Linked DNA regions of Coturnix japonica. The protein of the gene in region 5 purifies or fractionates together with the protein of the main gene of each other region. This does not show direct contact. Links are inferred from orthologs where the notes say so. Each region holds a gene or a part of one and is shown on either strand. Other genes may lie near its edges.

The links.
Region 1: the proteins of SQSTM1 (region 5) and LRRK2 purify together in Homo sapiens (affinity purification with western blotting; 3 studies listed by BioGRID and IntAct, with this or other methods). This does not show direct contact. The link is inferred for Coturnix japonica from reciprocal best matches to the Homo sapiens genes SQSTM1 and LRRK2.
Region 2: the proteins of SQSTM1 (region 5) and EPDR1 purify together in Homo sapiens (affinity purification with mass spectrometry; 3 studies listed by BioGRID and IntAct, with this or other methods). This does not show direct contact. The link is inferred for Coturnix japonica from reciprocal best matches to the Homo sapiens genes SQSTM1 and EPDR1.
Region 3: the proteins of SQSTM1 (region 5) and WDFY3 purify together in Homo sapiens (affinity purification with western blotting; 4 studies listed by BioGRID and IntAct, with this or other methods). This does not show direct contact. The link is inferred for Coturnix japonica from reciprocal best matches to the Homo sapiens genes SQSTM1 and WDFY3.
Region 4: the proteins of SQSTM1 (region 5) and BAG3 purify together in Homo sapiens (affinity purification with western blotting; 3 studies listed by BioGRID and IntAct, with this or other methods). This does not show direct contact. The link is inferred for Coturnix japonica from reciprocal best matches to the Homo sapiens genes SQSTM1 and BAG3.
Region 6: the proteins of SQSTM1 (region 5) and NTRK1 purify together in Homo sapiens (affinity purification with western blotting; 6 studies listed by BioGRID and IntAct, with this or other methods). This does not show direct contact. The link is inferred for Coturnix japonica from reciprocal best matches to the Homo sapiens genes SQSTM1 and NTRK1.
Region 7: the proteins of SQSTM1 (region 5) and TRIM25 purify together in Homo sapiens (affinity purification with mass spectrometry; 3 studies listed by BioGRID, with this or other methods). This does not show direct contact. The link is inferred for Coturnix japonica from reciprocal best matches to the Homo sapiens genes SQSTM1 and TRIM25.

Annotation. Positions count from the first base shown.
Region 1 is NC_029516.1:13,510,102-13,514,040, reverse strand, and holds the start of LRRK2 (leucine-rich repeat serine/threonine-protein kinase 2), read left to right. Parts: upstream 1-1,139; 5' UTR 1,140-1,335; coding exon 1,336-1,495; intron 1,496-1,574; coding exon 1,575-1,660; intron 1,661-2,552; exon of another isoform or gene 2,553-3,939. UniProt on the Homo sapiens protein: Serine/threonine-protein kinase which phosphorylates a broad range of proteins involved in multiple processes such as neuronal plasticity, innate immunity, autophagy, and vesicle trafficking.
Region 2 is NC_029517.1:42,215,026-42,219,132, reverse strand, and holds the start of EPDR1 (mammalian ependymin-related protein 1), read left to right. Parts: upstream 1-1,307; 5' UTR 1,308-1,339; coding exon 1,340-1,572; intron 1,573-4,107. Other genes in the region: SFRP4 (secreted frizzled-related protein 4), read right to left, coding at 1-474. UniProt on the Homo sapiens protein: Binds anionic lipids and gangliosides at acidic pH.
Region 3 is NC_029519.1:41,833,713-41,836,377, forward strand, and holds the end of WDFY3 (WD repeat and FYVE domain-containing protein 3), read left to right. Parts: coding exon 1-141; intron 142-1,018; coding exon 1,019-1,130; intron 1,131-1,361; coding exon 1,362-1,559; intron 1,560-2,044; coding exon 2,045-2,165; downstream 2,166-2,665. UniProt on the Homo sapiens protein: Required for selective macroautophagy (aggrephagy). Acts as an adapter protein by linking specific proteins destined for degradation to the core autophagic machinery members, such as the ATG5-ATG12-ATG16L E3-like ligase, SQSTM1 and LC3.
Region 4 is NC_029521.1:27,000,255-27,003,754, reverse strand, and holds part of BAG3 (BAG family molecular chaperone regulator 3), read right to left. Parts: intron 2,779-3,500; coding exon 2,425-2,778; intron 395-2,424; coding exon 11-394; intron 1-10. UniProt on the Homo sapiens protein: Co-chaperone and adapter protein that connects different classes of molecular chaperones including heat shock proteins 70 (HSP70s), e.g. HSPA1A/HSP70 or HSPA8/HSC70, and small heat shock proteins (sHSPs), e.g. HSPB8.
Region 5 is NC_029528.1:4,620,861-4,622,893, forward strand, and holds the end of SQSTM1 (sequestosome-1), read left to right. Parts: coding exon 1-154; intron 155-406; coding exon 407-614; intron 615-1,222; coding exon 1,223-1,380; 3' UTR 1,381-1,533; downstream 1,534-2,033. UniProt on the Homo sapiens protein: Molecular adapter required for selective macroautophagy (aggrephagy) by acting as a bridge between polyubiquitinated proteins and autophagosomes.
Region 6 is NC_029540.1:688,349-690,825, reverse strand, and holds part of NTRK1 (high affinity nerve growth factor receptor), read right to left. Parts: coding exon 2,367-2,477; intron 2,240-2,366; coding exon 1,910-2,239; intron 1,555-1,909; coding exon 1,496-1,554; intron 1,229-1,495; coding exon 1,126-1,228; intron 825-1,125; coding exon 678-824; intron 583-677; coding exon 452-582; intron 385-451; coding exon 212-384; intron 1-211. UniProt on the Homo sapiens protein: Receptor tyrosine kinase involved in the development and the maturation of the central and peripheral nervous systems through regulation of proliferation, differentiation and survival of sympathetic and nervous neurons.
Region 7 is NC_029533.1:7,752,743-7,757,042, forward strand, and holds the start of TRIM25 (E3 ubiquitin/ISG15 ligase TRIM25), read left to right. Parts: upstream 1-1,500; 5' UTR 1,501-1,523; coding exon 1,524-2,207; exon of another isoform or gene 2,208-2,723; coding exon 2,724-2,819; exon of another isoform or gene 2,820-3,310; coding exon 3,311-3,544; exon of another isoform or gene 3,545-4,056; coding exon 4,057-4,213; exon of another isoform or gene 4,214-4,300. Other genes in the region: COIL (coilin), read left to right, coding at 63-151, 570-659.

The DNA.
Region 1 (3,939 bases), on a different chromosome or scaffold from region 5:
TTCATAAGGCTGCCTCACATTTTGTCTCCCAGTGCTTTAGAGAGGGAGATACTACCAGCACATAACTCAACAAACTGAGCCCTAATTAGCAGACTGTAATTGGGATGCCGAGACAATAGTTTCTTTGTGCAGATGATGAGAGCAGCAATGTCTGAGCCTTTCAGGACCAATCCACCAGTATCAAGAGTGTTCAGAGGCATCAGCAAACACAGTCGCTTAGAGCTTATTTTGAGAAACTAATGACCTGTAAATCAGCTGTTCAATCACGCTTTTCTATCAATCAAACACCATAACCTGAGCACAAGCTTCAAGCAAATCCATACTCCTATCATGAACTGCCAAACTGTACTTCCAATTTCACAATTTAATTATTCCCTTAATTAATACTCAAAGCGCATACAACTCCTCTATGTAACACACACCACTTGTACTGCTCTTCTGAAGGTTGTTTACAAAGGTGCTGCTGCCCACATACTTTCCCTCAGGAAAGGGGCTGAGGTGCCGGAAGCATTGCCAGATTACAGGAAGATTGCATCAACCACAAGTGAAGCAATGCACGCTCAGGGCAGGAGAACCTCCTTATCTCACAACAGCAAACTCTCACTGCACAGCTTAGAGTGAAATTTTACTTCTACAGGCAACAAAGGTTTCTTTCAAGCAAACCCACAGACCTAACCAAGCCCATGGGGCCAAAACACTTGCAAGCACATGCCTTCCTTGGCCAAGGTTAACCTGCTCCTCCAGGCCCTCTGCATCACCTCAGCTGCCTCAGCTTCAGGAAAGGTCACAGCTCCTGCCCCAGCTTCCACTAAGAATCACTGAACTTCAAGGGTTGGAAGAGACCTCTAGAAATCATTGAGTTCAAGCCCCTCCTAAAGCAGGTTCCCTACAGCAAGCTGCACAGGAAAGCATCCAGGTGGGCTTTGAAATCTCCAGATAAGGACAACACAAGGATAACACAAGCTCTCCATGCAGACTGTGCCAAGAAGAAGCTCTTGCCAACGTTTGCACCAACTACCCAACCCTCACACGACCCTCAGCCAGCAGCTATTGGACTCTCGTGTTGTCAATCACTGAAAAAGAGCTGGCCTCCAGCGTGCGGGCCCTCGAGGGAGCCCCCTAATGGCGGCAGCGCTGCTCCCTCCTCACCTCCCTCCCACCCGCGGGGTTTGGCCGTAGCCGTGCACCCGGAGCGCGGGGAGGGGCGGCCCGAAATAGCCGGGTGAGGCCGGGTGACGCCGAGCGGCGGGACGGGCCCGCGTCGTTGGCTCTCCGTCCCCACGGGCCGCGTCTGATGGGGTGAGGAGCCCGTCGCGGGGGGACGACGACGCGGCCATGGCCAGCGGCTGCCCCTGGGAACGAGCGGCGGCGGCCGGAGAGGAGGAGGCGCTGAGGAAGCTGCTCGTCCGGCTCCGCAACGTCCAGGAGAGGAAGCGGCCGGAGACTGTGGTGCAGACGCTGAGCGACATGCTGGAGTTGGCGGCCCGGCAGAGCGGTAAGGGGCGGCCGCCGCCCGCCTGCCCTCCCGACCCCGCTCCGCCCGGCCCTAACGCGGCTTCTCCGTGTCCCCGTAGCTCCGCGGCTGTTCGGAGGCTGCAACGCCCACGTGCCCCTGCTGCTGGTGCTCGACCTGTACGCGGGAGCGGCCGGCGTGCAGCAGGTAACGGAGCGAGGAGCGCTGTGAGGGCGGCGGGGTCTGCAGGGTCTGCGGGCGCTTCACGGGCTGATCGTGGAGACGTTGAATGGATTGGGTTGGAAAGGACCTCAAAGCCTCCAGCCCCACTCATTGCCGTGGGCTGGCTGCCCCCCACCAGCTCAGGCTGCCCAGGGCCCCATCCAACCCGGCCTTGAGCACCCACAGCTCTATGGGCAGCTGTGCCAGGGCCTCACAGCCCTCTGAGTAAAGCATTTCTTCCTAACATCTAATTTACATCTCCCCTCATTTGATTTAAAGCCACCTTCTCCTTGTCCCTCCTGTAGAAAGTTGTTCCTCTTCTTGTTGATAAGCTCCCATTAAGTACTGGAAGGTCACAGTGAGGTGTCCCCCAGAGCCATCTCCAGGTTGAACAGCCCCAGCTCCCCCAGCCAGTCCACAGGAGAGGTGTTGCAGCCATCTGATCAGCTTCTGCTTCTGCTTGGCTGCCCCTACAAATGGTGTCCCATGTAAACAAGGGGTGCCACTTGACCATCTTGGTGCTGCTGCTGGGCCCACCCCATGAAGTGTAGGCATGTATTGAGCTCCTGACTGTACTGTGCCCAGAGAGCATTTACAGACTCCAGATGTGTGCAACTCACTCTCTTTGTGTATTAAATACATTGGTATGGTTACAAGATTTCTGGCATCCTTTACTTGTTCCCAGTCCACAAAACAAATCATGCTGCATATGCCTCTTAAATAATACTGTTGTGTAAGTTGTTGGGTTTTTTTTTTTAACTTCATAGACTTTAGCTAGTGATCAGAGCATAAAATTCAGATTAAAATATGAAAGGTTCTCTGTCAGGTTGCTGGGAAATAAAGAAGGATAAAGCAGTAATATTACTTTGTTTTTCAGGATGAAGCATATTAGATATGTCACAATTTACAAAACCGCTGCTGAGGAGTTCAGGCAAGGAAGTGAAAAGCATGAGATTGAAGCACAGCCAGGAGCAGATCTGAGAGGGTGGCATGAGGCTCTTAAGAATTCCATTAGAAAGATCATTTAGTTCTCATTTTAATAGTGGTATAAATCTCAACTTTGATTTGGTGCAGAGCTTTAAAATGACTTCTTTGCATTACTCCATTGTACTAAGGCATCAAAACAAAGCTCAGAGGCAGCGCAGAGCTCCAATCTGCACAAAATGCCATGGGCAGCTCTTTCTTCATGTTCTATTATAGTATTTGCAAACACCCACAGTGTCTCAGCAGGGCTGCTTTCCTTGCTGCACCCATTGCAACCTTTGTGAATACAAAATCTTATGGCAGCAGCAAGAGGACGTGGCCCCAATTTCGTTGTAGTCTCTTCATACTGCTAATGAGTTTTCATTGAATAAATTGATTGACCCTTTTGGCATTGCGATAAAAGTGACTCACATAACAGAGTAAGCACAGTGAGAGCTGTATCTGAAATGAGGATTTTCTTTGCCATCCCATACTCACCAATTGCAAAGCACTGTGTGCTGTTGCTGTTCCACCAGCTTGTACAGAGTCAATTTGCTTAACAGCTCAATATTTCAGGTGTCAGTGCAAGTCAGGCTATGGGCATAAGCCTTACTGCTCCTTTATAAGTAGAAAGAGACTGAGCTATAAGGTCAATACCACCATGAAGTAAAATAGACATCTTTTAAGTGAACGTGGCAGCTTCTTTATGCAATTCCTGGTTGACGCTGACTGGAGTGGGTTAGAAACTGTGGAGCGGAATTTGTACACACTTGAGGAAAGAGCAGCCAGCAGAGCTTTATTGTGTCACACAGAAGGGTGTGAGCTAATGTCATATCAATTCATTGCATGCTAGAAATGAAAAGGACTCAATTTAAAAATAACAAGAGTTTCAGTGCTGCTATCAGCTGTCTGTGTCTTAAAAGCTCAGATGCTTTTAAGAATATCTTTGTGTTCTGTGCTTTTTTCTGTCCCCTGTAACCTTTAGTGTTTCTGTTATTTAAAAAATCTCTGCTTGCTTATGGAACTGTAAATTGATAATGAGCTCTTTGTTATCTCAGACTGTGATTTTAATATTGTAAAACTGACCACATATCATTGGGTCACATGTTTGCTTCTGACTTCCCTGACTACACAGTCCTTACGAATGTTTGGCACACTTGGAGTCACAATAATGCAAGTAAAAGCGATCAATAGAAACATCAATATTACAGTCCATTTTAGTACAAAAGTTACTTCTGTAAAGTCACTGTGCTAATTTTCATTGGGTTCTAAGTTTAGCAGTTCCTATGGCAGAAAGTGGT
Region 2 (4,107 bases), on a different chromosome or scaffold from region 5:
GTCGCAGGCCAGGCTGTCGGGCCAGCTGTGATTGTAGCGGCGCATGATGGGCTCGCAGCCGTCGCGGGCGCGCTGGCAGACGGAGCGGCAGGGCTTGATGGGGTCGTAGAGGAACTCCAGCGTGCAGATGGGAGCGTACATGGCGCAGAGGAAGAAGGGGAGGACCGGGCTGCAGCCGGTGCCCACCAGCTCCTCGTACTGCTCGATGGCCAGCACGGCGTTCTCCTGCGTGCTGTGGTGGAGGTGGTTGGGCATACGGGTGATGTTCCAGGGCATGGGGCGGCACATGGGGATGCGCACCGCCTCGCACGGCGCGCCCTGCGCCCGCGGGCTCACCCGCAGCCACAGGGACACGGCCACCAAGGCGCGCAGCATCCTCCTCCTCCTCCTCCTCCGCCTCTTCCTCAGCCGCCTCCTCCGCCGCCGCCCCTGGGTCCGGCCGCACTCGGTGTCGGGAGCGGCGCCGACAGCCATGGAAATCGCGGGACGGCATTTATATCGGCGGCACGCGTGACGTGGGACCGAGCTGCTGCCCGGGCAGCCCCGCCGCGCCGCTGGGGGTGTGCGTGTGTGTGTGCGTGTGAGCGGCGGGCCGGCACCGTGACATCACCGCCACCGCCGTAATCCCCGCCGACATCACCGCGCCCCTCTCAGCCGTGCGACGCCTTCCTGGACGTGGAAGGGGGGGGAGCGGACCCAAACAAACGCACACGCTCCCGTCCCCTGCGGGCTGAGCCCTGCGCTCCCTTCATGCCGTCCCACAGCGGAAAGTTTCGGTGCGGACGGGAGGAGGCGAAGGGCGCGCAGGGGATCGCTCGGTGCCCGTTGTTCTCCTCAGCCACAAACCCCTCAGCAGTCGCCAACTGCGAAGGGGAACCCCTCGGTGTGTCCCTTCTCCATACGCCCCTCTCTTAGCGCATGCAGGGGAACCCTGGCCCGGCCCTGCCATGCCCCGAGCCCGGCGGGACGTTCCGCTGCCCACGTTCCCCCACGGAGTCCGGCGGGCCGGAGCGCCCCGGGGAGGGCAGTGGGAGCTTTGTGACAGCGCCTGTGGGGAAGCAGCCCGTTCTCTCCACGCAGCAACCCCCCCGTGCCCGTGTAACCCCCGCTGGCGGCACCGGGCGACATGTTGTGTGTGTGTGTGTGAGGGGATACACGGTGCCCACCGGCAGGATCCCGAGGCGACATTTTGCGTCTGTGCGGTGCAGGGCACACACGGCGCACGCAGCGCGCTGCCGGCGCAAGCCATGCGGGTTGTGCTGGGGGCGGGCCGCCCCCGCCCCTCCTTCCCTCAGCCGCCCCCTCCGTTCTGTCGGCGGTTCGCAGTGCGGCTCGGAGCATGGCGCTGCCGGCGGGCGGGCTGCCGCTGCCGCTGCTGCTGCTGGGCGGGCTGCTGCTGCTGCGCGGCGGGGCGGGGGCCGAGCCGTGCCGGGCGCCGGGGCAGTGGGAAGGGCGCAGCGTGCGCTACGAGCACGGCACGGGCCGCAACACGCGGGCCGCCGTCTCTTACGACGGCCTCAACCAGCGCCTCCGCATCTTGGAGGAGAGGAAGGCGCTCATCCCCTGCAAGAAGTAGGTGGCGGGGGAAGGGGCCGGGGTCCCACCGAGGCGAGGGAGGCGGGGCTGCGGGGGGCGGCTTGTCACGGGGGCAGGGAGGGAAGGGGCTGGCAGGAGGCGGCCGCGCTCCGTGTGTGTGTGGGTGCGTGCAGCCCCCAGTGCTGCGTCCTACTCTTAGCCGTACTGAGCGCCCCCAGCCCCAAATGCACGGTGTGATGTGAAAAATAATCTCCCGTTAGAGCTAGGAGAAATGAGCTTGAGTCACCTTCTCCCTGCTGTTCCCCATTCCTCCAAACGCGAATGCGGCACACGGTTGATCATACAGTCGGTACCTGTGCTCAGTGCTCGCACACACTGCACAGGCTGCCTGGCCCCGCAGGACCTCCCTGTTGTTAGCATTGGTTTCTTGGTTGGGTGGAAGATCAGTGCAGGAAGGAGCAGCCTGCAGGAGGGCCTGTGTCTCCTCAGCCTGGAGCCACGGAAACTGTAATCAGTCCCTGTGTGCAGGTCCCTCAGTCACCACGCAGACATGTACCAGCCCACGGGGCTGCCACACTGCCTCTCCCACCCAAAGTTATTCAGATAACTGCATCAGCTTGGGAATAAGCCAAGGTGCAAAGCAACCCAAAATTGCTGTATCATCCAACCTTGAAAAGATCACTGTTTGGTTTTGCTTCTGGCTTCTTCCTGCCTATAATCAATTCCTTACCAACATGACACATTCAGTGTTTTTCTGCTGATGTACAATGCACTCTGACACTGTCCATACTTCTGCACCCCTTCTTTCAGGAGTCTTGGGTTGACCTGCGCATTCAACAAGCATAAAGCTTCTCTGCAAAGCCTGATGCAAGTGTTTTCTAGCTTCTGAGCTGCACTGAGCTCATTTCTTTAGGCCTGTGTTTGTTTTATTTGAAGACTTCATTTGAAGATGGACTAATTATTTTACATTTTCCACTCAGGGCCAGATTTTGACCTCTGCCAAGATCCGCTGTCATTACGTTTTTGACAAATATTTGCTCTGGACTCTGTTTTGTCTGGGCTGATAGTGCTAGCACAGGGTCAGTGCAGACAGGTGTGCTGGCCACTCATTTTTGCCTGCATTGGTTTATCATTGCAGACAATCCCTGACCTCAGGCATCCCCACCATTCTGAGACCCGCTGCACTTTCTGCCATCCAAAAGCAGAGGGTGGTTTTGTTAGGAGCGTGGCTCTCGTCTGCTCAGGGTGTGACCCTGCTTCCTTCAGTCAGTGGAAAGGCTCCCATTGATTTTAGCGTGTGTTGGGTTGAATCTAGGGCTGAGAGCACAGCTTCAGTTCACATCGGACACTGTGAGTCATAAGTCAAAGCCTTCAGAAGCTAGAGTTGGGAGGATTTATCTTGCCTTTGGAGGAATAACTTCTCTCCCACTCTGCTTTGATGTTGGCAAGAAAAGGAGAATTACACTGAGGCAGTGACTACAAAAGCATCAAGAAAAATAGTGCTTTCTTTGTCCCCGGGGAAATTTCACTATGACTGCTCACAGCTACATTTACTCCTACAAGATGCAATAATCAAGACTGGCCAAAGACCAAAAATCTATGCAGTGTTTTCTGAATCTTAGAAATTTGGGCCACAATCACACACAGCTCTGTTGGAGACACCGGGGTTGATCAGGCAAACAAAGATTTGCCTCTGTCAAGTGGTTTGCAGGCTCCTAACCACCAGAAAACCTAAAAACTTCAGTTTTCCATGTAGATGTATGTTTCAAATTCATGTCATTTGCTTTGCGGCATTTTCATACCTACTTCAACCCTGTGTTCTGGTTAAACTCTTGAAATGTAACCATAAGATGAAGAGCCCATCAGTGCTTCCTTAACTTCACTTCTTTGCCCTCCAGTTGTCTCTTGAGTACCCAGCATCCCATTGCTGAGCAGATAGAGGGTGTCCTCTCTCATCTGGTCTCAGGCGGCCTGAATGGCCATTGTATGGTTGTTTCAGCTTATTGGTGTTCCTGTGGGTAGTGCTATTGACTGCGTGTGTTGCTCCTTGGAGCTTAATTAACTACCAATTATGATCTGAGGCTGAGGTTTTTGGAGAACCTGTTCCAGCAGGAATCATTACTAAACTTTCTTTTTAACTTTTTTTACAGATCCAGCCTAAACTACACCCTGCATCTCACTGTTCACCTTACACTTTCCCCAGTGTGCCTTGTCCTACTGTATCTTCCGCCTTTAGGATGAAATTTGAGGGCAAGGAGGGCATGGACAGTCTTTTTGCACTTTGTTGAGCAGCCAACTGATATTAGGAAATAAGAAAACAGAAGGAGATTTTTAATGAGTAGAAATTGCCACTTTGAAGAGGTAATGCCAACGGAGTTTTCCATTAATGTGACATGAGTGTCCTTGGAATGGTTCCCTGAAGCCCTTAGGTGGAGCTGTGTCATGGTACCTGTTGAACATACAGTGATTTTTAACTCTTTATTGTCCCCTGTTTAGAGTTATTTCCCTCTGTGTGTGAATTGCACCTTGCTCCTGTCCAGCCCTTTGTGGACCATGATCACTGAACACAGA
Region 3 (2,665 bases), on a different chromosome or scaffold from region 5:
ACCAGCTCAGCTTGGATGAGAAAGATGGCTTTATCTTTGTGAATTATTCTGAAGGACAAGCAAAAATACACCCCCATGCTCAGGTTAACCACCTGCACCCCAGCTATGCTGAAGCACGGCACTACAGCAAGCTTAAACCAGGTAAAAGAAGTTGAGTACGCTTCCTTGGCTGGATAAATTTGCTGTTAGCACTGACCCAGAAGGCATTATCTCTGCAGCTTTGAGGAGTGATGGCTGATAAATTCAAAAGCCATTGGTGAGAAGCTTCTGTGTTGAGGTGTTGCACATTGTTTGAGTTTTTCCTGAGAAATGATGATGGGTTTACCCTGCTGGCAGCTAATCTGCTCGCTCACTGTTGCTGCAATGGGATGGGAGGAGAGAATAGGAAGAGCAAAAGGACAAAAGCACAAAAACTCAAAGGTCGAGCTAAGGGTAGTCTACTAAGCAAACTAAAGAGGAAGATAAAAGCTAAAAACAAGTGATGCAAAGGCTCTCACCACCTCCTGCCAGCAGACTGTTGTGCAGCCAGTTTTGGAGTGAACAGCTTCCTTAATCAGAAAGTGCCCTTCCTTCAGTTTGGTTGCTGAGTATGATGCTGTATATGACATGGAATGTACTTTGGTCAGTTGAGGTCAGCTGTCCAGATTGTGTTACTTCTGAGTTTCTTGCACACCTTCAGCCTACTTACTGGTGGGTGAGGAAGAGAATACCTGCTGATATTCAGTGCCAACTCCACTCTGTTTGTCAGTGTTCTCTGCATGTCAGATGCATTTGGTGAAATGCAGGACTCTCTGCTTTGCATTGCATTTTTTCCTTCATTGGATGCGTTGGAGAGCAGTTGAGAGTGTATTTTCCCTGAATGGGAAGTGAGTCTCTGAGAGTTATCAGCATCTGGAGAGATTAAGATGTTTCCTTTCAACAAATGGATGCACATGGGTATTTTGGGGAGGGAGGAGGATTTAGAAATGAGAATGAGCAGATTTGTTTTTTCCCTTCTCTCCTTCCTGTGCTCTTCTAGGATACCGATGGGAGCGTCAGTTGGTGTTTAGGAGCAAACTAACTATGCACACAGCATTTGATCGCAAAGATAACGCACATCCAGCAGAAATCACCGCACTCGGCATCTCCAAGTGAGTAGCTCACAGGTGATCACACAGTGCATTTTTTCAGTGTTGTCAAAGGATGCAGACACAGTTCTTCGCATAATGCTGTTTTGTGTTCGCTTTTTTTGTTTAGAGAACAGGCTGGTATCTTGGTCATAAAAACATTATTAAATATTCTGACATCTAAAATCAGCCATTGCTGTCTCTGCCTTACTGGGCCAGAATTGTCAGGAGAATGCTTTTACTTTTTTCCTACAGGGATCACAGCAGAATTCTCATTGGGGATGGCCGTGGCCGAGTGTTCAGCTGGTCTGTGAGTGATCAGCCGGGCCGGTCAGCAGCCGACCACTGGGTGAAGGACGAGGGAGGAGACAGCTGCTCAGGTTGTGCAGTCCGATTCTCGCTCACAGAGAGGCGTCACCACTGCAGGAACTGTGGGCAGCTCTTCTGTCAGAAGTAAGCTAGCACCAGCCTCCTTTACGTTCTTTCCCATAGAGAAATTCAGGCTATTGCATACCACTGATCCCTACAAACAGACTGAGATTTCCTCTCCCTTATCAAAACAGAACTGATTAAAAAAACAAAAAAAACCAACCAAACAAAAAGAAACCAAACCATCAGTGCTGTAAAAATTTCCAGGGGAGAGTTGGAAAAAGCAGACACGCTCCTTTATATAAACAGTGAAGCTGTCAGCTTAACATAGGTGTCAACTGAGGTTGAAATCAAGAAATGAATTATAGACAAATTAACATAGCAAAGGAGAATATATTTATTTTTCAGCAAGTAGTTTATCTTATCAGTCTACAAACATAACACGGTCTGTCAAAATTTGTTTGGATGGTGTTGAAGTGTTTGAAGTCACAATGATAATTTCCACATCTGGGAAGAAAATAGTGAGGCTGTGGGAGGACAAGTGTTCACGGTGGTGTTTTCCTCTTTAGGTGCAGTCGGTTTCAGTCTGAAATCAAACGTCTGAAGATTTCGTCACCGGTCAGAGTCTGCCAGAACTGTTTCTACAACTTGCAGCATGAGCGGGGCTTAGAGGAAGGGCCCAGGAATTGACAAGATGGTGGTAAATGGAGACCCTGTACAGTCCTGCTGTCACCCTGAGAACTAATGTGAGCATTGTGCTGCGATCAGAAGGGAGTAGAATACTGTCTGTTTACACTTAAGTTTATACTGCATTTTAAGCACTGAAAGAATAAGGGATCATTGAATTGATTTGTGTTGATGGAAGGTGTGTGATGAGATGAGCGGCACATTGAAGTGAAGAGCAAGGCCCAGGAAGACATGGTTAATAACTACAGATACAGTAGAACTGTCAACCCCTATCTCGCTGTTGACATGGCTATGAAGAAAACCCTCACTTATCCTAAACACCAGTTCTTGTCTTGTTTTTGTAGAGCTAGTCATCTGTACTGGGGTGGGGGGGTGGGAGGGAAGGGAAGGCTTTTTAGAAGATAGTTGTAAATCTGCCTTCTTCGCAAGCAACTGTGTATATTGTAAATAGGTATAATGGCCTTTTTATCTAAATATGAACCTAACTGCCTGTTACATGGGAC
Region 4 (3,500 bases), on a different chromosome or scaffold from region 5:
CTCTACATACCTGAGGTCTGTCTACGACCGTCTGTACTGTGATGGGAGTCGAGGGCTGTACCTGCTGGGTGATAATTCTGGCAGGTGAACTCTCACGACTTGATGCCCCTCTCTGAGTGGCTCTGAATGGAGACTGTGCTCGTGCTGTCTTAGGCTCCCTGTCATCTGGTTGAATTCTGGGAAATACAGGTTGGTGGGCTTGGAATTCACTCTGCTGGGCAGGGTAGTGTGTCTTCTGGGCCTGATGGTAGCCTTGCGGTGGTTGCCTTTGGATATTTTCATGGATCACAGGAATTGAAATATAGCCACGGGGAAGCTGATGGCTTCCTGAATTGGATCTGCCAGATGACTGAGGTGGAACCGTTTGAGAATCAGAAGCTCCAGGAGACTGAGGCTGCCATGAAAACAAAATCCATTATTAAATCAGCTGTTTCAGCTCATAGCACTTTTCATTTTCAAAGAGAAATGGAAACTGAATTTGTGTTCCCACATACAAAAGATCTACGTCCTTGGTTTGGGTTTGTGTTGGTTTGTGTTCTATTTTTTTTTGCCTTGCTAGACAAACCACAGAAGTTGTGAGAGAGCATCATTATAACAAGTAATAACCTGAGCTACAGCATTCCCAGCCCTCAAGTAAGCAGGGAGTGGATGCTCACTCAGAATGTTTTCTGTTTTTACATGGCTACTCCTGTCTAAACCTGTTAAATGTGAGGCAAACTAAAGTTAAGCAAACAAATTATGTACTGCAGACAAAAAACAAACTACTCAGAGGCACACAAAGTTCAGACTTCTGATCCCACTCATGCTAACAGATTTATTTACTTCTTTAAGCATGTAATTTAGTGCACTGCCAAAGCCTGCTATGTGTGGCTAATGCCCCTTGACCCCTCACGAGACCTTCCAGCACATCAGCCCTGTTGGCACCAGGAGTGATAGCTGCACTAGTGTAGATTTGCTGTAAGCAGGAGCAAGTGCTGGGGATACACCACAATTCAGCTTCTGGTATTTCAGGTTATGGTTCCACAGCATCTGGGGAAAGGCAGTTTATTTGCTCACAGCTCACTCCTTCTCTACTCCTGCTGTGCCAGTCCATCAACTCACCTACTATGGACTATTCTCTATACTTTAACCCATGAAGGAGAGGAAAAATTATTTCCTGACAGGTTTATTGATATCTCAGTGACAGGCCAGGTAAGACTGGAGTTAGCACAGGAGGGAGAGCAGGACAATGTAGCTGGAAGCAACAAGTAGGCAGGCAAGGTGAGAAAGGATAGGGAACAAGATGTCTTTTGTGCTAGTTAATGCTCACCTCTGCAGCTCAGCAGCTATAAATAAATGCTACTTTTTCTACAGGCACCAGCACTGCTGTGTCAGTGCCCTGGTCAGTTAGTGCCCATGCCACCTAAGTTTGTGATGGCAGCTTCTCCAGTCCTCAGCAGTTATCTCAGAGCACATGAGATGGAGAAGACTTTTCTGAAGCAATTCTGCATGTAATACAAAAGTATATTCCCAGCTGCATTAAGTTGAGAGAAGGAAGAACTAAGCCTCCCATCCTTGCACTTCATGGATAAAGCAGCAACAACTGAGGAAAACTGCGAACAGGATTTTAATTGTCTTGTTCAGACACAAAAACAGGTTTTAGAAAAATATCTGCCACTGCCGACATGAAAAATTCCCCATGTGTTTTCATGCTGATAGAGGCTCGATTTCCTGCTTATTTTACTTGGAACAGAAGTGAGATTAGTGCTTCAGCCTATTACAAGAATACTGCTCCTGCTAATTCTGAGGAGATAACAGACAAACCAAAATCCTGCCTTTTGAAAAGCAAAGCAAGGAGGGTGACTCTTTTTAAAGCAGTTCATGTATTATAACATACTACAAAATAACAACAAAAATATTTCCGAATTCACTTCTAAATCTGTGTATGCAGATCTATACAATTAATAAAACCAGAGTATTAAACTGGAAAGCAGAATAGCCCTGTTTCTGAAACAGCCTAAGCTGTCAGCTAATGGGACACTTGTATTTTGTGTCTCTCCCCTTGCTCACCTGTTTCCCACATAGGGAATGCAAGAGATCTGCCTGCATTCCCAGCTTGCAGAGTAACCACTCTAAACCCTACAACAGCCCTCACCTGCCGCAGGAGCACCTGCACCATTCACAGGCTTTTTTATAGAGAAAATTTTCACAGGCTTGTTTCTGTGCAAATCACTTGATAACAAAAGCTGTCAATGCCGGAAAAATGTGAAACACTTCTGCTGAAGTGACTGAGCACTTTTGTATTTCAACACTGTGGAAGTATTGGGAAAATGTAATCCTGTGGCAGGTTTGGCTTTCCAAAGGATAAAGTACTCGTGTGACAGTCAGGTCATACATGGCCGCAGAGACCAAGGCACACACACCCCAGCAGTACTGCCGAGTTACCTCAGGTCCGTGTGTCGCTGGAGCTGGGGCTGCTGCAGCTGCTGTTGTCTGTCCACATTGTTTATCTGCCTGGGAAGCCTCAGCCGGCCCCCTATGAGGGGACTCAGGGCTGGCATAGGCCCCCCTCAGTGGTGGCTGTGCCTGCGCTGTGGTGGGCACGGCTTCTGCTTTGTACCGCTGTACGCCGGGCTGTGGAGCAGCAAAGTATGGGTGCTGTCTGCTGTCGATGCCCTCGTGGATGACTGGGATGGGGATGTAGCCAGCCCGGAGCTTGGGGTACACCACGTTTCCTTCCCGTGCTGGCATCTGCCTGGGACTATCTTGAGATGGGCCATTTGCTGACGACTGGCCATCCTAGAAATTAAAAACATCACATAGCATTTGTTGGTAGCTCAGCTCAACATACCACGTAAGAAAGCAGCCATAAAGGTCTGTCTAAAAGAAGCGTCAGCCAGGCATGAGAAGCTCAGCTCCTCAGGTCTGTGCAAGGTCAGCAGGCAGGAGAAAGGAAGCTGAACACCAATTAGGTATGAGCCTTTCACCCTCAGTGCTGATAAATGCTAACTGAGGCACTAAAATACCACATTACAACAGGGATTTTCTGTAGCGCTCACTACCTGCATACAGCCATGAGTCCAGCTGCCTCACCTGGTACCATGCTAATTAAATGAGAGCTTCAGGGACCACAGATGTTTCCTTAACACCCCTTCAAATCCACCCAGCGTTATAGATAACAGCAGAAAAGAAACTTAGAAGATTTATCTCATCATAGAGCAGTATTTGTTGGTATTGTGCTTCCTACTGCCTATCTAGAGTTACTGCTGCTTCATTCTGAAGAAGATACTCACAGCCAAGAGAGGATCCACTTCAGCAGATTCCAACAGGATAACATAATGAAGAGGAAAATGCTGGAAGGTTAGATAATATTAATTCCTGTGCTGGCCAACTGCACTCACTGGACAATGTCAAAGCTCTGGCAAGGGGGAAAGTGCTTTGTACCAAGATCCCTCCCAAGTCCTCTATTAAGTTCTTCCTGCATCGGTCATTCTATTTTGAGGCCCAGCTAGGGCCAAGTT
Region 5 (2,033 bases):
AAGCAGCAGTACTGCTAATCAGAACAGTCAGAGCAAACCATGCTGGAATAGCACAGATTCTGCAACGGTAGTAAACAATGTTACAGAGCAGATACAAGACATGGTGATAGATCCTGTGCCCACACAAATGGAAGATGGCAGCCTCCAGTCCCAGGTACAAGAAACACTGCATTAATTTAATACGCTTGCTGAGGCCTTACTGAAAAGGAAATAATTCAGTATGTGTTGAGGGACTGATGATTCAGTTGTCAGCAGATAGAGAATATATGGCACTTTGCTTTACTGGTTTACAGCAAAGGTGGGACTTGTTGTAAATGTAATTCTTCCTATTAAAAGCAGATAGTAAGAGCATGCATCCTACCTGGAAAGCACTACGGCACCTGGACCTCCTTTCTTTCCATTTCAGGCACACAGTGAGTCAAGCAGTTCATCAGGGGGTGACGAGGACTGGACCCACTTGTCTTCCAAAGAAGTGGATCCTTCCACAGGTGAACTGCAGTCTCTACAAATGCCAGAGACAGATGATCCCAGCTCCCTAGATGTAGCTCAGGAAGCTCCCCAGGCAGGACCTACAGGGCTGAGAGAGGCTGCACTCTACCCACATCTCCCACCAGGTACGAGAATGCATGCAGGTTGCACGTGAGTTAAAGTTGCTCTCACTTATTGCCAACTTGTCCAATATAAGCAAACCTGCTTAGGAACCAAGCTCACATACAGACAAGTTAAACTGTAACTTGTGCTCTGGCAGCACTCTGCATGCTGTTAGGAACAGGCATGTTCTCTGCTTGAATGGTGGCAGCAAGTCTTAAACTGGTACTAATATGCCATTTGAGCAGGATGAGAGAGGTGGCCTCTAATCAGTGTCCTTGCTGTGTACTCTTGGAGAGCCTTTTAATGCAGGCTGTAGACAATACATCCTGTAACTTAAGACACTTTTCTGGCAAGAGCTAGTTAGGAGTCTGCCAGGTCACTTAACTGAAACCACTGGCAATGAGGTTTACAGCAAGGACAGATGGATCTAACTCAGCTGCTTCCTTAGCAGGTTACATATGCTGTATCTCAAAATGTCTGCCTCATAGGATACAGAGGAAAGTGTCTTCCAGCGCTTGTCAGCTATGCTAGATCTGCTAGGATTAGTGCCAGCCCACCATGTGATACCACAGCCTTGGCTGGTTTGCTAATAATGTGAAGCGTTTTAACTTCAAACTCATTCTCTTGACAGAAGCAGACCCTCGCTTGATTGAGTCTCTGTCCCAGATGCTCTCCATGGGCTTCTCTGACGAGGGTGGATGGCTCACTCGACTCCTGCAGACAAAGAACTGTGACATCGGGGCAGCGCTAGATGCCATCCAGTATTCCAAGCAGCCTCCTAACTTGTAGTAGCCTATGTAACAAAAACCAGTTTCCTTCTAACTAAAAGAAAACTATGTGGTACAGTTAACTCTAGCAAATGCATCTTCTGTTACAGGTTTCTGTTTCATGTTCCTAAGTGCTTGTAGTGTGGAGAAAAAAATAAATACTGCCACTCTTTCACTGGTGATGAGTTTGTGGCTGTTTAATAATCATAACTGTTCTACTCTGTTAACTGGAACTTGATTATAAGTTAGGAGAAGATCCAGGCCAAGAGCACATGATTTCTATGTCAGGTGGTTCTCAGTGTAAAAGTAAGGCTAGCTCTGTGCCAGTCTGTTTCTTGCACATAACCTGGGCTCTGAGCAGACACCTCGGGGTTATTCATTTGTGAAGAGCAATCAAATGCTTGGCTCTGAAGCCTGCACCGTAGCTTTGAAAGAAAGAGTTGCTATGGGTGATGCAAACAAAGAGCTAGAACAAGGGAAAAGAGTTGCAGTTTATAGTGGGGAATTAATCACAGAACTTAACTGTACTGGTAAGATATTCTTAAAGCCTTGGAGGCATCCCTGCTCCCTCCCATCTGACCTACTTCCATTCTTACTTCTAATGTACTTGCTAGACACCACTGTGCAAACATAGCACTTGCTTCTTGGATCAGTCTTTCCCAACAAGACACAGCT
Region 6 (2,477 bases), on a different chromosome or scaffold from region 5:
CCTCTGGCAGCCCCCCCGTCTATCAGCAATACCTGGGGGGCCAATCGAAAAGTCTCTGCTTATTCCAGCTGATGGCCAATCTCTCTCTATTTAAGCCTCTCAGACAGCTAATCTAATCAATATTGCAAGGAGGGCTGCATTAGCAGCGAGCGCAGAGCGGCTGTCTGAGCCGCGTTGATGGAGAGGGGAGGGGGCGAGGGGCCGGACCCACCTGAGGAAGTGGTTGAGGTCTCCATGCTTCATGTACTCAAAGACCATGATGAGTGGGTCACCCTCGCCACACACACCATAGAACTTGACGATGTGCTCATGCTGCAGGTTGGTCAGCAGCTCTGCCTCCCGCTGGAAGTCCAGCCGTGCGCTCTCGGTCACCTCCTTTAACGCCTGCAGGCACAAGGCGTTAACATGGCACTGACCAGCCCAGGACCCTCATCCCCCCCAACCCCTTCACCTTCACAGCCACCAATGTCTTCTCCTGCTCTGGAAGGAGGTGGGAACACTCAGCCAGAAAGACTTTCCCAAAGGCTCCCTCGCCCAGCTCCCACTTGAGCACAATGTCACGGCGCTGTACGTGGTGCACACCTGGGGGACCCACATCCATCAGCCCAGAGCCCCCACCGCAGGAGGACAATGGGGAGCAGTGGGGGATGCTGAGGCAGATGCATCCCCAGCCTTACAGGCATTGCAGAAGTACTGTGGGTTCTCAATGAAGTTGCTTTTCAGCCCGTCCAGCTTGCTCTCTGTGGAGGACACGGGGCTGCTGCCCAGGTTCATGAAGTGCAATGACATGGCCAGGTCATCCTCCTGGGCCAGCACGGCTGAGCCTGCAGGGACAGGGGCACATGAATAGGGCCATCACAGAGGGGTGAGGGGTGCTTTGTGCAGCAGTGCCAGGTGCTGCCGAGCATCCCCCCCCCCTCCAGCCCCAGGGGAAGTCAGTGCGATCAAACCCATTTGCAGGCTGAATCCATTCCAGGAGTGAATTAGCAGCTGCTGCCCGCACTGCTTGGCCCCGGAGGAGCCCCATTGCCACCCAGTGCCCAAGGGGGTGCCAGGCAATGGGGACCCATGAGGACCATTGCCCCATGGCTGTGCCCCTACCCGGTGCAGGAAGAGGGGACTCACGGTTAATGCCGAACTTGGAGCGACGCCCGCACTTGTTGAGCGCAATGAGCATGACAGAGAGGAAGAGGGAGGCAAAAACAGCCAAAGCCACAGCCACGGAGACCTGGGGACAAAGGGAATGGTGAGTATGGGGCTGGGGTCCTGCTGCAAAGCCAAGGACAGCACCCTTCTCCAAGCCCTGGAGGTGATTGCAATTCTACTGGGGAAACTGAGGCACAGCGGAGGGCAGGAGGCTGCCTATACCCCATCCCATCCCACCTTGCCTTGCCTCTGGTTTGCTTTCACTTTAAGGACTGCTTTGCTTTCCCACAGGTGTCCTCATGCCCCTTACCCCAAATCACAGGGCACCCCATCCCAGTCAAGTCCTCACCCCAAATGTGTGCTCATCCGCTGTCTCCATAGGGCCCTCCAAAGAGCTGTTCCTGGTACCTGTGTGGGGAGAGGGCACAGGGTGAGCGTGAAGTGGGGGCACATCCTCACTCCTGCACAATCACTGCAGCCTCATCATTGGGCATCACCACAGCTGGGGGTTAATAGCAGGGGTAGCAGCATGCCCCAGCACTCACCCAGTGGAGATATAGACACTGTGCAGCATGGAAAAAGGAAAGAGCACACATTAACCACCTCCCCCCCATAAGAGAGTCCCATGTTTCCTTCCCAATCCTTGGGGAAACTGAGGCACGGGAGGGGGACAGAACCCCTTGGCAAGGTGGGAATAGAAGTTTCGGTGCCTCCTGTGTCAGGATTAGGGCAGCACATCTCCTTCAGCCCCACTGTGACCCACCGGGGATGGGCTCCTCAGGGCTGAAGCTGAAGGGGTTATCCATGAAGCGGCCCTGGATGCTGCGGGTGGCTCTGCCCAGGGGGTTCTGCACCACGAGGGTGTAGTTGCCGTTGTTGACATGTGTGGGGCGGTTGAGCTGGAGGCAGCCGTGCAGCGTGGTGGAGTTGGGCTCATACTCCACAATCCGCGTATGGATGTAGGGCCCCTCAAGCAGAAACGTGCCATTGAAGAGCCAAAAGATGCTGGGTGCTGGGTTGCTGTCCACTGAGAAGGGGATGCACCAGAAGTGCTGAGCGATGGCCTCGTGCAGGAGCAGAATCACCGGTGGGACTGTGGGGACAGAGCTGCCTGTGTCCCCAAACATGCGTCCCCAAATGTGGGACCCCCAAAGCTGACCCTCATACCACCCCTGGCCCCCCAATCCTCCCTCTCTCTCCCCATCCCCTGGGTTGCTTACAGGTGACATTCAGTATCACGCTGTCCTCTGCCAGCCCCGCTGCATTCTCTGCCCGGCATGTGAGGTCCTTGTGGTTCAGGCTAGATGAGATGTTGTTGATCTCCAGGACAA
Region 7 (4,300 bases), on a different chromosome or scaffold from region 5:
TGTAAACATTTTCCTGTCTGTTTATACTAACTAAGTGGGTTTTTTTGCTGTGTTTTCAAAAGTTGCTAAAGAACCAGGGAAGTTTGATCTGGTTTATCAGTCTGCAGATGGGGCCGAGCTGATAGAATACGCTGTGCCTCAGGACACAAAGGTACGTGCCTGCCTTGTTCTGAAGGCTGCCGCGTGGTTGTGCTGACACGTTTCCCTGCTTTACAATGCTGTCCTTTTATAATGGAGCGTTTCATTAAAGTAAATGAAAGCAAAAATAATCCTTTCTAACAAGAATGGGAATTATCATGAGATAATAAACTCTTGCGTATTATTTCAGTTAATTAGACTCAGAAAGTCACCACTTTGTGTAACTTTTTGGCTCCACGAACCTCCATGAGGTTCTGGTTTTCCTACCTGCACATCAGCAGGTTAAGGCTGATGAAGATCACTGAATTGGAGCAATGATCTGTGACCTTTGTTCTGTGCTGCTGCTGTTCACATCCAAACAACTTGTGATGCAGAAGAAATTGCACCTGCCTGTACACCTTGTACGCGCTAATGTTGGATTTTGCTTCCAGATAACTGAGAGTTGGGATTCGCTGATTGAGCCCAGATTGATCGTTGAGCCTCCAATGAATGGATCAGGCACTGAAAACGGAGCAGTCTGAGATGTGAACACGAGTAAATCCTTGTGTGGACTTGTTTCATGAGATGCTGCCGTCCAGTTCTGAGGGCAGCAAATGCGCTGCTGGTTATTTTCCATAAATGGTTTTAAAATAAACACTGTTTTCTTAAGAGATGGTTTTGTGTTAATCCAAGAATGCTTTGTTTGTTATAGATTTAATGTAGGTTTGATTTATTTTTTTTAATAGAATCTTAGTTTTTATATTCTACTTTTGTGAGTGGCAAAACTGGAATAGTTTGATAGAAAATATAAATGATGACCTTGTGCTGTGTTTGTGGCTCTGCTGCTGTGTCCTGTTTTGTCTAGAGCAGCGTAACTGCTATACAGAACTTGTTGTAAGGATCATTAAAATCCAGCATTGAAAGAAAAATATATTGACGTCCATGGTTCTTTACTGCAGAGCATGACATGAATGGCCAGACCTTACAGTTCTATACAGGGTTCACCTGAAAACATCAAGAAAAGTTTAAGGATTTTATGCTTCTGTAATTTAGAGAGGAGGATAAACAGTGTTGGTGACAGAACTCAGCCTAGAACCAGCACAATACAAACGAACCCAGACAAAACGGTGTCCCAGCGTGTTCAGCCGAGTGTGCTCTGAAACCTTTACAGCCGAACCCTTTTGCCCTTTCAGTGTTGAAGTGTCAGTGCTGCCTTTGCTCAGAACAACGCAAGAAAACCGCACACACGTACTTCGCCGGCTCGGTCCGCTCCAGCGCCCGCACGGATCGCAGCTCCCCGGGACACCGCAACCCGCGCTGCTTCCCCGCCTGCCCGTCCCGCCCCGTCCGCCGCCCCCGCTGGGCTCAACCCGGGGCGGACCCGCCGCGCCCCTCGAGGCGGGGAGATGGTTCGTAATTTTACGGAAATCCGCAGCCCCAGTTTCGTTTCCTCGGGGTCTGGAGGCAGCAGCGGGATAATGGCGTCGATGAGCAGAACTAAGTCGGAGCCGAACCTGTTGGAGCTGGAGGAGGAGCTGACGTGCTCCATCTGCCTCTGCATCTTCAACGTCCCCGTGACGGTGCCCTGCGGACACAACTTCTGCGCCTCCTGCCTGGAGCTCACCTGGGCCGGCCAGGTGCGGGACTTGAGCTGCCCTCAATGCCGCGCCACCTTCCCGAGCCGCCCGCAGCTCCGCAAGAACACGGTGCTGTGCCGGGTGGTGGAGCAGATGCGGGGCAGCGGGACCGGGGACGGCAAGGAGGACGATGAGAGCGAGGAGGAAGAACGGGAGGCGGCGACCCTCATCTACTGCGACAGCTGCCTGCAGGCGGCCGCCACGCAGACCTGCCTCACCTGCATGGCTTCCTTCTGCCCCGAGCACCTGCGGCCGCACCACGACAGCCCGGCGTTCCGCGACCATCGGCTGTGCCCGCCCGTGCGGGACCTGCAGCAGAGAAAGTGCCCGCAGCACAACAAGCTCTTTGAGTTCTTCTGCAGCCAGCACGGCTGCTGCATCTGCTCGCTGTGCCTGCTGAGCCACAAGCCGTGCCACACCAGCACGCTGCAGGAGGCCAAAGATAAAACCGAGGTGAGAACGGGGCAGCCCCGAGCTGAGCTCCCTGCAGACACTCCCTGGGGCGATCTGCCCAGATACCGGGATTAACTTAAGACAGCCCCTCTGACTTCGCTTAGCAGCATTCCTCAGATGCGATCCAATCATATCTGAGAACAAAAATCCTCTGTCACAACGAGGGGTGAACAGCAGTATTTACCCAGTGCCCGAAGTCCAGGCTAAGAGCTAAAGCAAAGTTTATTTGCAGCGCTGGGAGCTGCTCCGCTGATGAAAGAGTTCTCCTTATCAGCAGTGACTCAAGGACGCCCATCTTGCTTTTGGAAAGGTGTGGCTATGGGGGTGCTGACCCCACAAACTGTGTGCGTGCACGACAGCACTGCTAAAGGAGCAATGGGTTTTAAACGGGTGGTACTGAATGCTTACAGTGGTTATCAACAACTCCCTACTGTGATTCTTACTCCAGTAACCATGACCCGACTGACAGCATGGCAACGCCTTTTCTAAGCTGCTCTCTGCTCTCCTCTTTTGCAGGCTGCACTGAAGAAGAGGCTGGTGGAGCTGCACAACCAGAGTGAAAGATCCGTGCAAGCAATGAACTCTGTGAAAACAATCCAGAGTCAAGCTGCTGTAAGTTACAGCGCTGTTTGCTTGGTGTGTGCTGGCTCCTGAATGTTGTTTGTGCTCTTGTGGCAGTCCTTGTACTGAAACTGCCTTGTCAGGAAGAAATCTCACTGAGAAGGATCAGAAAAGAGCCGTTTTGGCAGCTCCCTAAGGATGGGAACAAACACAGCCTCCTTACAGGGGTGGTTCGCACCCACACGGGAGTAACTGAGATGAACCCATCCATTCCCACTGCAGCACAGATTGTGCATCTGTGCAGCCCAACCTAAAGCAGCAGTGAGTAGCAACGGCTGCACTACAGCAGAAATGTGGGAGAGCTCTTTTCCACAAGTGAGCACAGCTCAGCCCTGCTCTCACCTGATGGCCGGGGTTGGTGTGTGTGCTGAGAGCTTTTCTATTGCCAGTTGTGAGTAATTGGAGTTTACATGCCCACAGTAGCAGCGCTTTCCCCCTAACTTGGTTTGAAGCCAGTTTCTGCCTTTTTGTGTCTGCTCCAGGAGACAGCTGCCAGAAAGCGGGATCTGCTGAGAGCTGAGTTTATGGAAATTAAAGCTTTAATTGAAGAAAAAGAAAACCAGACCCTAAAAGTAGTTATGGAAGAAGAAAAAAGAGTTTGCAATAAGTTCGATTACATATATAAAATTCTGGGAAGTAAGAAGAATGAAATTCAGTCTCTGAGAGACCAGATTGAGATGGCACTGACCGAAGGGGATGACGTTCTCTTTTTAAAGGTAACGTGTCCTTTAGGTTCAAATCTGATTCTTTGGGGTTTTAGAATATAGATTCATAAAGAACTGCCCTGGTCGTCCTGCTTTCCAAATCCTTTTAGTCAAATGATAAAGCAGTCACATGCAAGAACCTCCTATAACAAGATGTACTGATAAATACACAAACACGAGTGAAAGAGCACTGGAACAAAGTGCTGTCTGCGATTCCACCTCTCCCCAGTTCTGCCACTATTTCTGCTGTGTGCAGAAAGGCCACTGAGGGAGAGAACTCGTCTCCATGAGGAGGAGTTACATCTCTGTGCTGCGAGGCAGAGCTTTCTTATTGCTCCAGGTATCAGGAAGTAACGCTTATGTGCTGCTGAGCTGCTGCTGAAATTGTGCCACGGCTTTGCCTGATTGTCACCTGTGCTCTTTTGCATTTGAGATAAATGCCCAAAACTCAGCCCATTTAAGGTCACCTGCTTGTATTTCTCACACAAGATGGTCTGCATGAGATTTTCCGTTTCTCATTTCAGAGAGCAGCAGCGCTGCAACGAACATCAATAAAAGAGGCCTTTGTCCCAGTAATAGAAATGGACCACAACATGATACACGCTGCTTATCAGTCTGCCATTAACCTTAAAGATGCTGTCAAACTTGCAGTGAATGCGTCTGTGGATAAAAGAACGGATGGTATTGTATCACTGTGGGAACCGGCGTTTTATGCCTCAGCTTTGAGCTCAAATGAGAGAGATTCCCCCTCCAATCCAAACATAAAAA